Linked DNA regions of Rattus norvegicus. The protein of the gene in region 1 interacts with the protein of each later gene in a pairwise test. Links are inferred from orthologs where the notes say so. Each region holds a gene or a part of one and is shown in the gene's direction. Other genes may lie near its edges.

Region 1 (5,079 bases):
TACAGTGTGTATCTGAAGACAAAGCAAGTTCTTTTCTGAGAATGAAGCCATTATTTCAATAAGCACGAACACTAGTTTTGAAGGTAGAATTCTGAAAGACACACAGAAGAGTGGCCCACTGACAGTACAAGGAAGCTAATTTGGGAGAGAATTCTGATGTTAAGTATCTAGAGACTAGTGTTAACAGAAAGTAGTGTGAAGATGGCTCAGGGGTTAAGAGCACTGATTGCTCTTCCAGAGGTCCTAAGTTCGATTCCCAGCAATCACATGGTGGCTCACAACCATCTGGAATGAGGTCTGATGCCCTCTTCTGGTGTGTCTGAAGACAGCTAGAGTGTACTTATTTATAAGTGAGTAGAGGAGAAGGGTGGGAGGAGGGTATTTGCACTGGAATAAGTGGGAAGACTATCTTAGATCCCTGCTATTGTCTGCCTGCCATTTCTTTGCTCCCATTTGCATTTTGGTCACTTTATTTTCTGGTGTTTTTCCAGTGTGAAGCACCAGTGGCAACCAGAAACTTTAAGCAGATTGTTCACTTTCTGTACCCCAGAACTGTTGTTTTCCATAGAAGAGTCACTGGTTCTGCCGGCTATTGAGTACTACAGTGTATCACATTTTCTGTTTTTGGTTGTTTTGTGACAATTTATATATGGCCTTACTTTGAAGCTCAGGCATTTAAAACCATTATCATTTACTCTGGATGGGCTTACTTATTTTCTTATGTGTGCACAGAGGTCAGAGGGCAACTTGCAGGGATTGGCTGTCACACCATACGTGTCTAAGGATTGAATTAACGTCGGTCGGCTTAGAGGCGAGTGCCTTTAATACCCACTATGTCCACCTTTTAGCTCCTGGTAGCTCAAGCTTTCCTGAATATTTCCCATTTAGTTGGTTGATGCGGTGAATTGGAAATCCAGACACGAGGGGCTGACTGTATTGTAATATGTAAATTAACACTGGCTAAAGTTATTTTTTTAATGCGTCTGCTAGAAGACCTCACCCTACATACATGATGCGCACATTTCTAGTCTCTCCAGAAAACTGTTCTGGGGTCTAGCACATCCCCCTACTCCATTTTATTGCATGGAATAACCAATAGGAAAAGATACACCGAATAAACTGTTGAAAGAGGAGATTGCTGTCTCGGACTTCCAGTGGGAAAATGGTAACCACTTCCCCCTAGAACTGAAAACTTAAGTCTAATGAAGTCATTGAAAACAATGTGTTGTCTCTTAAGATAAGCCACTATCCTCTTTTGAGAGTGAATTTGCCCCTTAGATACTTGATATCTGAGGTCTGCACGTTTATGATAACTGTACCAGGAAAGCTCGGTGCAATGGAACTTGTCTTGTGTTTGAGACTAGTCGTCAGGAGTAAGGGATGGGTGGCGGGAATCAGTAGTCACAGCCCGGAACCTTAAACTAGGGACCCGGGCCGCGGGCTTCTCCAGCCGACGTCACTAGGGCGCGACGCCTACTCTTCCAGAAGCAGTGGCACGTGAGGTACCACGGTGAAGTCGAGTTCCGGGACAATAAGACACATCACTCTTGAGTCCCCGGGAGATTTGGGTCTCAGCATCCCTGTCCTAGGTTTGCCACCACAGGTCACAAGGCCTGGAGCTCCATTAGCCCCTCCGAGAACCTGTAGAGTTGAGCATCACAGCGGCTGCGCAGGGCACGTGCTCATCCTCCCCAGGAGTCCGGGCGATTGGCTGTGACGCAACTTCCGGCGTGAGCGGCGAAAGCCGGGAGGGCGAGCGAGAGAGCTACCCGGCAGCAGGCGGGCGGGTGGCCGGCCGGCACGGAGGGAGGGAACGAGCAAGCGGTGAGCAAGCCAGCGAGGGCGCCCGGGTCCCGAGGGCAGCGGAGATTCCTCAGGCCCCTCCGGTGCCCTCCCCGGAGCCCACAGCACCTCCGGCACCCAGCGGAGCGGACGCGGTCCAGCCCGGCCATGGCCTCGTTGCTGAAGGTGGATCAGGAAGTGAAGCTCAAGGTAGCGGCACAGCTCCGGCCTCCTCATCCCTCCTTTCGAACCCCCAGCAGTCGGATCTGCTCCCCACTCCCCATGTCGTCTTTGTCTCCCTGGGGACACCAGGTATGAGCTTCCGCCTGGCTCAACCCAGCCCCCCACGCCTGGAGACGGCATTGGAGAGGACGATATAGGGTGGCTTTCTGCCCTGCTTCTGGTGATGGAGTGCACCAGTGACTCCTCCTTGGACACGTGTTAGACTCAGTGCTTTAGGCTAGTGACAGGTGGAAATCCCGGGCCCAGGAACGTCCCCGCCCCCGACCCTGCCACTGACCCTGCCCTTGAGGCTGGCCTACTGCGTATGATAGGCCAGGTCTGGGGGGGAGTTGGCACGTTTGTGAGCTCACTTCTTCCAGTCTGGCTTTTGTCTGCCTATGAAATTGAGAGGGTTTCAGACAACACGGAGGGAGGGACCAAGGGGGGTGAGGGGTGGGTGGAAAGGGAGAGAAGGGGTAGAACTGACAGGTGCCGGCCTGCAACCCCAACATCTTCTCCCAAGATGGAGAAATGGATCCTCAAAAAAATGAAATATTTGCAGTCCGGGGGCCTCTCACCTTCTAATTATAATTTCAAGGTGAGGGCGAGACAGCTGGATTTGGGGTTCCCCATCCACACCCTTGTATCACTAGGTATTGAATTGCTCTCTTTGTTAATTCTAGGTTGATTCTTTCAGGGAGCGGATCACAAGTGAGGTGAGTGCTGGTTGTAAAAGAGAAAAGGGGCATTGGTTAATAGCTTGGGGTTTCCCAAAAAGATATCCATAGGGAGTTTATTAATTCAGGTGTATTTTCTCTGCCTAGGCAGAAGACTTGGTGGCAAATTTTTTCCCAAAGAAGTTATTAGAACTTGATAGTTTTTTGAAGGTGAGAGACGCTTTTATTTCTTTAAATTACTTCTTTGGTTCCTGTCTTTCTGACAGAGGGGGCAGACTGTGTGTTGATTCTGTTCCCTTGTGTACTGTAAAGGATTCGTTTGCTTTTACAAGAAATACTCCTATCCCCCGTCTCTCTCCTTTTCTTTTCTTTTCTTTCTTTTCTTTTTAAACTTAACACTAATACTGTTTTGGGGTGAATGCCTCTCTTTCAGGAACCAATTCTAAATATCCATGACCTAACTCAGATCCACTCAGACATGAATCTCCCAGTCCCTGACCCCATTCTCCTCACCAATAGCCACGATGGACTGGATGGTGTGAGTGTCTTGCATTTATGTTTGTGTTCTTAGTATTTTGTTTTTTGGTAAGCTTGGGGACGTACGGAGATGTGGGATTTGCCTGTGGGATCTGGGTTCTGTTTGAGGTGTGGTGACTCTAGCATACTATACTACTTTTTGGACCATTCGCTTCGTTTTGGGCGAGGTGAGTACGTTAGTGCTGCTCTAGTTCTTAACCCAGGTTTTAATTAGTTCGAAGCTGGCTGCAGGCTTCCCTCCACTACCTGGCTTTCCACACGCTTGGGAGCAAGACTGTTTTGTTCAGCATGCTGTCCTTATAGATGGCAGAACAGCTGTCCTTGCTGCCTAGCCGCAGTCCCAGTCCGCAGTCACTGTGCTTGCTGTGCTGAACTGTGCTTTACTGCACTTGCACTGTGCTTCTGAGACAGCATCTGATTATGGAGCCCCTGGCTAGCCTGCAACTCCTTATGCAGACTAGACTGAGTTGACCACAAACTCAACAAGATCTGCCTGCCCCTGCCACGTAAATGCTAGGAAGGAAGGTGCGAGCTGCCATGCCAGCCAGCACTGCTACTGTATTAGTTGCAAGTCTATATTGCATTATAACACCAGGGATACTATAGTTCCATCTAGATTCCTGTGGCTTGGTACTTTGTTGTTGTTGTTGTTGTTATTATTATTACTGTTTTTTTTTTTTTCTGTCCTAGAAGTCAAGCCCAGGGTCTTGTGTACCTATATAAATGCTGTACATCTGATTTATGTTCCTAGCTTTCAGAACTTTCTTAATTATAATTCATTAAGCGAGGGATGGTGGCTCAGCATTCAGCTTGCCTGGAGAACGAGAGTTGTGTGTTCAAGATCAGCCTGGGATACATAGTAAATTGAAGGCTGGCTGGGACACATACCGGGAGCGTTTTTTTCTTTTTTTTAAATAAGATTTTTTTATAAGTACACTGTAGCTGTCTTCAAACACACCAGAAGAGGGCATCAGATCCCATTACAGATGGTTGTGAGCCACCATGTGGTTGCTGGGATTTGAACTCTGGACTTCTGGAAGAGCAGTCAGTGCTGCTCTTAACCACTAAGCCATCTCTCCAGCCCAGAATCCTTTCTTCAAAATAAAACAAACTTGAAGTTAAGTCAGGGGACATCTCAGTAGTCTGCGTCCTTAGCTCCCAACATCACATATTCCTAGCGTAGAGAAGGTACTGCTCTGAGTTTGCTGAATGACAAGATTTATCTTAGAATCAAAACACTAGTGCACACTCCCTCAGTTATCTCCTACCTGCCTTTTTGCTTTCTTCTTTTTTTTCTTTCCTTTTTTCGGAGCTGGGGACCGAACCCAGGGCCTTGTGCTTGCTAGGCAAGCGCTCTACCACTGAGCTAAATCCCCAACCCCTTCTTATTTTTTAAATGGAATTTTCCCTGCTTTTCCACTACTTAAAAAAGTACTTTATTGTGTGGGTAGGGAGCTCTTTCCTTCTGCCATATTGGACCCAGAGATCAAACTTGGGTCATCAGACTTGGCAGCAAGTGCCTCTCCCTGCTGAGCCAACCTACTGACCACTTCGGCTGCTTTTTAAATGTGTTCTATTAGTGGTAACTTTGGCCTTCCCAACCAGAATGTAAGTTTCTTTTTGACGAGAACCCCTTTTAAAAACTTTATGTGTGTGTGCATTGAAATTCATATGATAGAGGGGTGGGGATTTAGCTCAGTGGTAGAGTGCTTGCCTAGCAAGCGCAAGGCCCTGGGTTCGGTCCCCAGCTCCAGAAACAACAACAACAACAACAACAAAAAAAGAAATTCATATATAATCTCTGGGGTCCAGAAAGGAATTACACTTCCTTGTACAGTATCTTGTAATGGGCATGCTTGTT
Region 2 (4,991 bases), on another chromosome or scaffold:
TAGATTTACTTTCCAGTACCCACAAGACAGCTCGTAACTATTTATAATTCCAGTCTCAGGGGAATCTGGTGCCCTCTTCTGACTCCTGAGGGTGCTGCATGCGCATGGTGCACAGGACATACACGTAGCCAAAACCCCCATAACACATAAGATAAAATATTTTAAAAGATATTTATGGGTTGGGCATATAGCTACATTGCAGACTCTTGGCTTCGCATGTTTTGAACTCCACCTGTTAGAACTAGATGTGCTGAAGCACGAGTTTGTAATCTTTACCTTAAAAAAAAAAAAAACTCTTTTGAGAGTTGTGGCTTGCTCTTGTTATTCTTGCACGGGAGAGAGGCAGATAAGGGATGACTGCCTTCCCTCCAAGGTCAACCTGAGTCATACAGGAAGACTCTGTCTCAAAACAACAAAACCAAAAGTGAAGTTATTCACCCGGAACAATGGCATGAGACTATAACCACGGCATCTGTTGGACACATTGAGACCCCCTCTCTTACCTATCTTTCTACAAAAGAGAACCACGGGGCTGGAGAGATGGCTCAGTGGTTAAGAGCACTGACTGCTCTTCCAGAGGTCCTGAGTTCAGATCCCAGCAACCACATGGTGGCTCACAACCATCTGTAATGAGAACTGATGCCCTCTTCTGGTGTGTCTGAAAACAGCTACAGTGTACTCATATATAATAAATAAATAAATCTTTAAAAAAAAAAAAAGAGAACCACGGGCTGTGGTTATAGAAGCTGGCAGCATTGAGACCTGGGGCTAGGACTTAGCAGCACTTCCTCCTTTTGTTCTCTGAGGTCTTGTTTTTTTGTTGTTTTTGTTTTTGGAAACAGAGGGTTCCTCTGTGTGGCTCTGGCTGTCCTGGAACTCACTATGTCGACCAGGTTGTCCTCAAACCCAGAGATTCACCTGCCTCAGCTCCTGAGTGCAGGGGTTAAAGACATATGCCACCAGCACAGGGCTCTCTGAGGTCTTATATCGGGTTGGCTGGCCTCAAATTCCCTAAGAAGCTAACATTGCCCTTGAATTCTGATTCTCCTCCTCCACTTCCCAAGTGCTAGGTTACAGACAAGGCTACCTTAAAACAAACAAACAAAACACCTAATGTACTCACTGACCTGTAACCGCAACGCAATGATAGGGACTGGAGAGATGTCTCAACAGTTAAAAAGCGTTTGCTTCTCATGCGAAGTGTTTGAGTTCAGTCCCCAGCATCCACATGGCTGCTCATCAGCAACTCTGACTCCAGGGGCTTTGAAGACCTCCGCTGTCATTCAGCAGGCACTTGGTGCACATACATTGGGGCAAATCACTCATACTCATTTAAAAAAAAAATCTTAAAATTTAAACGAACAAAAGAAACTGAGAGTTTATCTCGTTGGCTCGGGGTCTCTGCTTGGAGCTAGCCCTGCCCCGCTCCCGCCCTAAGGAGCACTTCCGCTGTGTCTGTTATTTCACCAGTTATGTATTTCACAACGCAAGGCTTTTTTTTCCAAAAGGCTCCGCCCGGCGTCTAGCGCAAACGTTTCCTCCTTGTTTGGACCACAGCGATTGACAAGTCAGTTCTCCAATCATCATGCCGAGTGACCACATAATTATCTAGGTCACCGGGGCGGTGCGGAAGCATAGAATGAATAGGGGTGACCAGGAAGTGTGTGATCCCAGACTGGGAAGGAGGACGGGAAGAGGACCAGCGATCTTGGGAAGGTGACAGGGCATCTGGCCTCCCAAATTCCCTTCTTTCCTCTTAGCTGGGCCAGGGATCCATTTATACCTGAGAACTAGGAACTCCCTTTGCCCTTTCTTTGGGGTGTGTGTGTTTTGTCCTTATCTTAGCGTTTTGGGTTCCTTTTTTTTTTTTTTTTTTTTTTTTCTCCACTGGGGCGAGCAGGGAGTTTAGGGTTTAGGTCCTATCTCTCACACTACGGATGCTTAAGGCCTCCGGTCCCTTTCTAGGGAGAGGGAAATGAGACGCCTACATCCAGGTGAGATAGTGAAAGTGGGAGGGGCCCCAGGAAGAGAGTTTCTGTGGTTTAGACCCTGCGCTAATGTAGGCTAGGAGGGCGCTGGAGAGAGGAAGGAAACTTTTTTTCTGTTTTGTTTTGGTTTTCAACACAGGGTAGCTCTGGCTGTCCTGTAACTCTCTTTAGACCAGGCTGGTCTCTAACTCAGAGATCCACTTGCCTCTGCCTCCAGAGTGCTGCCCATTTTAAAGTGGAGGTTGCGGTAGTTTTATCAGTGAGAGCCTTCGTAAGGCGGAGGCTGTAGGGTGGGGCTCGGGCTCTAGAAAATCCGCTTCCCTTCCTGGGAGCTTCAGATTTTTGTCTGTTTTACTTCGTAGGATTGAACTAACTTGTGGACATGTGGAATCCTAGTGCTGGTAAGTAACTGGGGGGCTCTCCTCTGACCCCGCCCCAGCCCATTTTGCAACGAAACGGGATTTTTCTGTATCCTGCAACCCCCAGCAAAAACAAAGTCACGGGACCACTGCTAGCTACCGAGTTCTGCCTTTCCGTAGGGCTTAAGAATGGTGGTGACTGGGTTGGGGATTTAGCTCAGTGGTAGAGCGCTTGCCTAGGAAGCGCAAGGCCCTGGGTTCGGTCCCCAGCTCCGAAAAAAAGAACAAAAAAAAAAAAAAAAAAAAGAATGGTGGTGACTTGTGTTACTCGTTGATAGAGGTTTGCACCGTTCTAATCTTTATTCTCCAATTCTTCCTCTAGGGCCAAATCCATATCCACCCCAAGTTGTGTGTCCAGGAGGTTCCAATCCTGCCTGCCCACCATCCCAAAATCCTGCCTTTCCTCCTGGCCCCTGTCCTCCCGGAATTCCTCAGGGAAACCCAGCTTTCCCTCCGTGTCGACCTCCTTATCCTGTACCGCAACCAGGGTGTCCAGGATACCAACCCTCAGGTCCCTACCCTCCCCCGTACCCACCAGCTGCTCCTGGCATGTGCCCCGTGAATCCTCCGGCTCCTGGCATGGTAGGCCCAGGAATAGTGATAGACAAGAAGACTAGGAAGAAAATGAAGAAAGCTCACAAGAAATCACACAAGCATCATAAGCACGGGAAGGTCAGTGTCCTCTGGAGCCTGGCTGGGGAAGGAGCTCCCTTCAGAGGGACCGGGGTGATCAGGAGTTGGGGATGGGCATTCTCGGTTTGTGGGGCGTGGGAGGAGGACGGCAATCCTGTCCTTTTGGCAGGTGGTTTTCCTTTACGTAAAGAGATCCTCCTTTAAGGAGTTTAGTAATATTGAGGCATTCGACCACTCCCATCTGCAAAGGAAAAGTGAAGTGGGGGCGGATATCAGAGCCAAAAGCCCTCTCCCTTCTCTCCCTCTATCCCTGTAACTCCCCGCCTTGACCCACCCTAGGTGTATCTTTTGGTAAGTTGGACACACCCATTAAGGTTGTCTAAATGTCAAAAGAGTTCTTTGACAAAGTGCAATGACGCATAATAGTTTGCGGGGTGGCGGTCTGACCCTAGTTCCTGGATTTCCTTTATCTCCTTCGGCGTTCTCAGGTGCTGAGTTAATTCCCTGGGTGGGTCTTCTGTGACTCAGCAGCCTTCTGCAAAGCCTGGGGTGAAAGGGCATTTTCCTTCACAAGACCTGTATCCCTTCCTTCCACAGGGACGCTAATTATTGTTAGTGAGGGAAGGAGTTTCCCTGAGGACTTGGGAAAAGCATCAGTCTAATCTTGAAGCTTTAGTTAGATTTTTATGCCAAATGTTTGCTTGTGGGTCTGGACTCTAGTTCCTGATTCTGGGTCTTAGGTAGAGATGTGGGGAGTGGGGAAGGAAAGGAGACACTGAATGAGGGAGAGAACCCTGAGAGCCTAAACTTTTTTTTTCTAAGATTTATTTATTTATTTCATGTATGTGAGTACACTGTGGCTATCTTCAGACACACCAGAAGAGGGCATCGGATCTGCATTACTGATGGTTGTGAGCCACCATGTGGCTGCTGGGATTTGAACTCAGGACCTCTGGAAGAGAGTAGTCAGTGCTCTTAACCGCTGAGCCGTCTCTCCAGCCCCAACACGAAACTCTTAAGGGCTAGGATTCTGGTAGCAGGTGTTTTTTTTACAGTAGCTGACGGAGGTATGTCTGTGTGGGGTTTCTCCAGCCATCTGTCTGTCTCTGCCATCTTCCCCACTTTTTCCCCTAGTGGGACTTGGAGGAAGTACAGCATCACACACACACACACACACACACACACACACACACACACACACACACACACACGGTGGCTGGCTGTTCCTACCCTCTCTGAGGTGCAGAGAGTCTCGTTTGTCATTCTTTAAGCTAATGAGTAGGGACTTACAAAGTTGCAGCTGCTTCCCGCATCCATGCTGTGTTTGTTCTTCATTCCTGGCCCTGGCTAGGTGTGGAAAGTATAAACTTGGTCAGAAGGCAATGTGTTCAGTTCTGTGCAATGACTGAGGACAATTTAATCCATTCTTGTATGTTCACTGCTGAAGGAAACCCTTGATTTTGTTGGTTATGGGACAGGACGGTATGAGACTCCTGACTACTGGATACTTGGGTGGATGGGTGGGGCACCAAAGAATGGACCTTGGAGTGACCAGAGGCCATCTGGATCTGATGATGTGTCCTTTCCCCTTGCAGCACTCCTCCTCCTCTTCCTCCTCCTCCTCCTCCAGCAGTGACTCTGACTGAACACAGGGCCTGGAGCCTCCTCCCCTCAAGCCTCACCAGCTCCAGTCTCCCACCAAGCTTCACCTGTCATCTTGTACTGAGGGGAAATTAGCGCCCCGCCCCACTCCTTCCTGTGCCTTCTCCCCGCTGTTGGGGAAGATGACTGCCGAGGGGTAGCAAAAGCTACCTTCTCCCTGCTTGATATTACCGTAGCTTATGAGGTGGGGGGGGGCACTGTCTTTTAAGATATGCACCATGTGATTTTTCTTTTGTAACTTGGGTTTGTGACAATTTGTGATGAGAAACCTGTACTTTTGTAATGGCGA

The links. The genes of interacting proteins can lie anywhere in the genome.
Region 2: the proteins of Psme3 (region 1) and Prr13 interact in binary tests that used the Homo sapiens proteins (3 or more experiments, as listed by UniProt). The two-hybrid records come from large-scale screens. The link is inferred for Rattus norvegicus from reciprocal best matches to the Homo sapiens genes PSME3 and PRR13.

What each region holds. Positions count from the first base shown.
Region 1 is NC_086028.1:86,756,183-86,761,261, forward strand, and holds the start of Psme3 (proteasome activator complex subunit 3), read left to right. Parts: upstream 1-1,750; 5' UTR 1,751-1,950; coding exon 1,951-1,992; intron 1,993-2,687; coding exon 2,688-2,720; intron 2,721-2,828; coding exon 2,829-2,891; intron 2,892-3,114; coding exon 3,115-3,219; intron 3,220-5,079. UniProt on the Homo sapiens protein: Subunit of the 11S REG-gamma (also called PA28-gamma) proteasome regulator, a doughnut-shaped homoheptamer which associates with the proteasome. 11S REG-gamma activates the trypsin-like catalytic subunit of the proteasome but inhibits the chymotrypsin-like and postglutamyl-preferring (PGPH) subunits.
Region 2 is NC_086025.1:135,469,389-135,474,379, forward strand, and holds Prr13 (proline-rich protein 13), read left to right. Parts: upstream 1-1,651; 5' UTR 1,652-1,716; intron 1,717-2,350; 5' UTR 2,351-2,370; coding exon 2,371-2,389; intron 2,390-2,729; coding exon 2,730-3,079; intron 3,080-4,635; coding exon 4,636-4,686; 3' UTR 4,687-4,956; downstream 4,957-4,991. UniProt on the Homo sapiens protein: Negatively regulates TSP1 expression at the level of transcription. This down-regulation was shown to reduce taxane-induced apoptosis.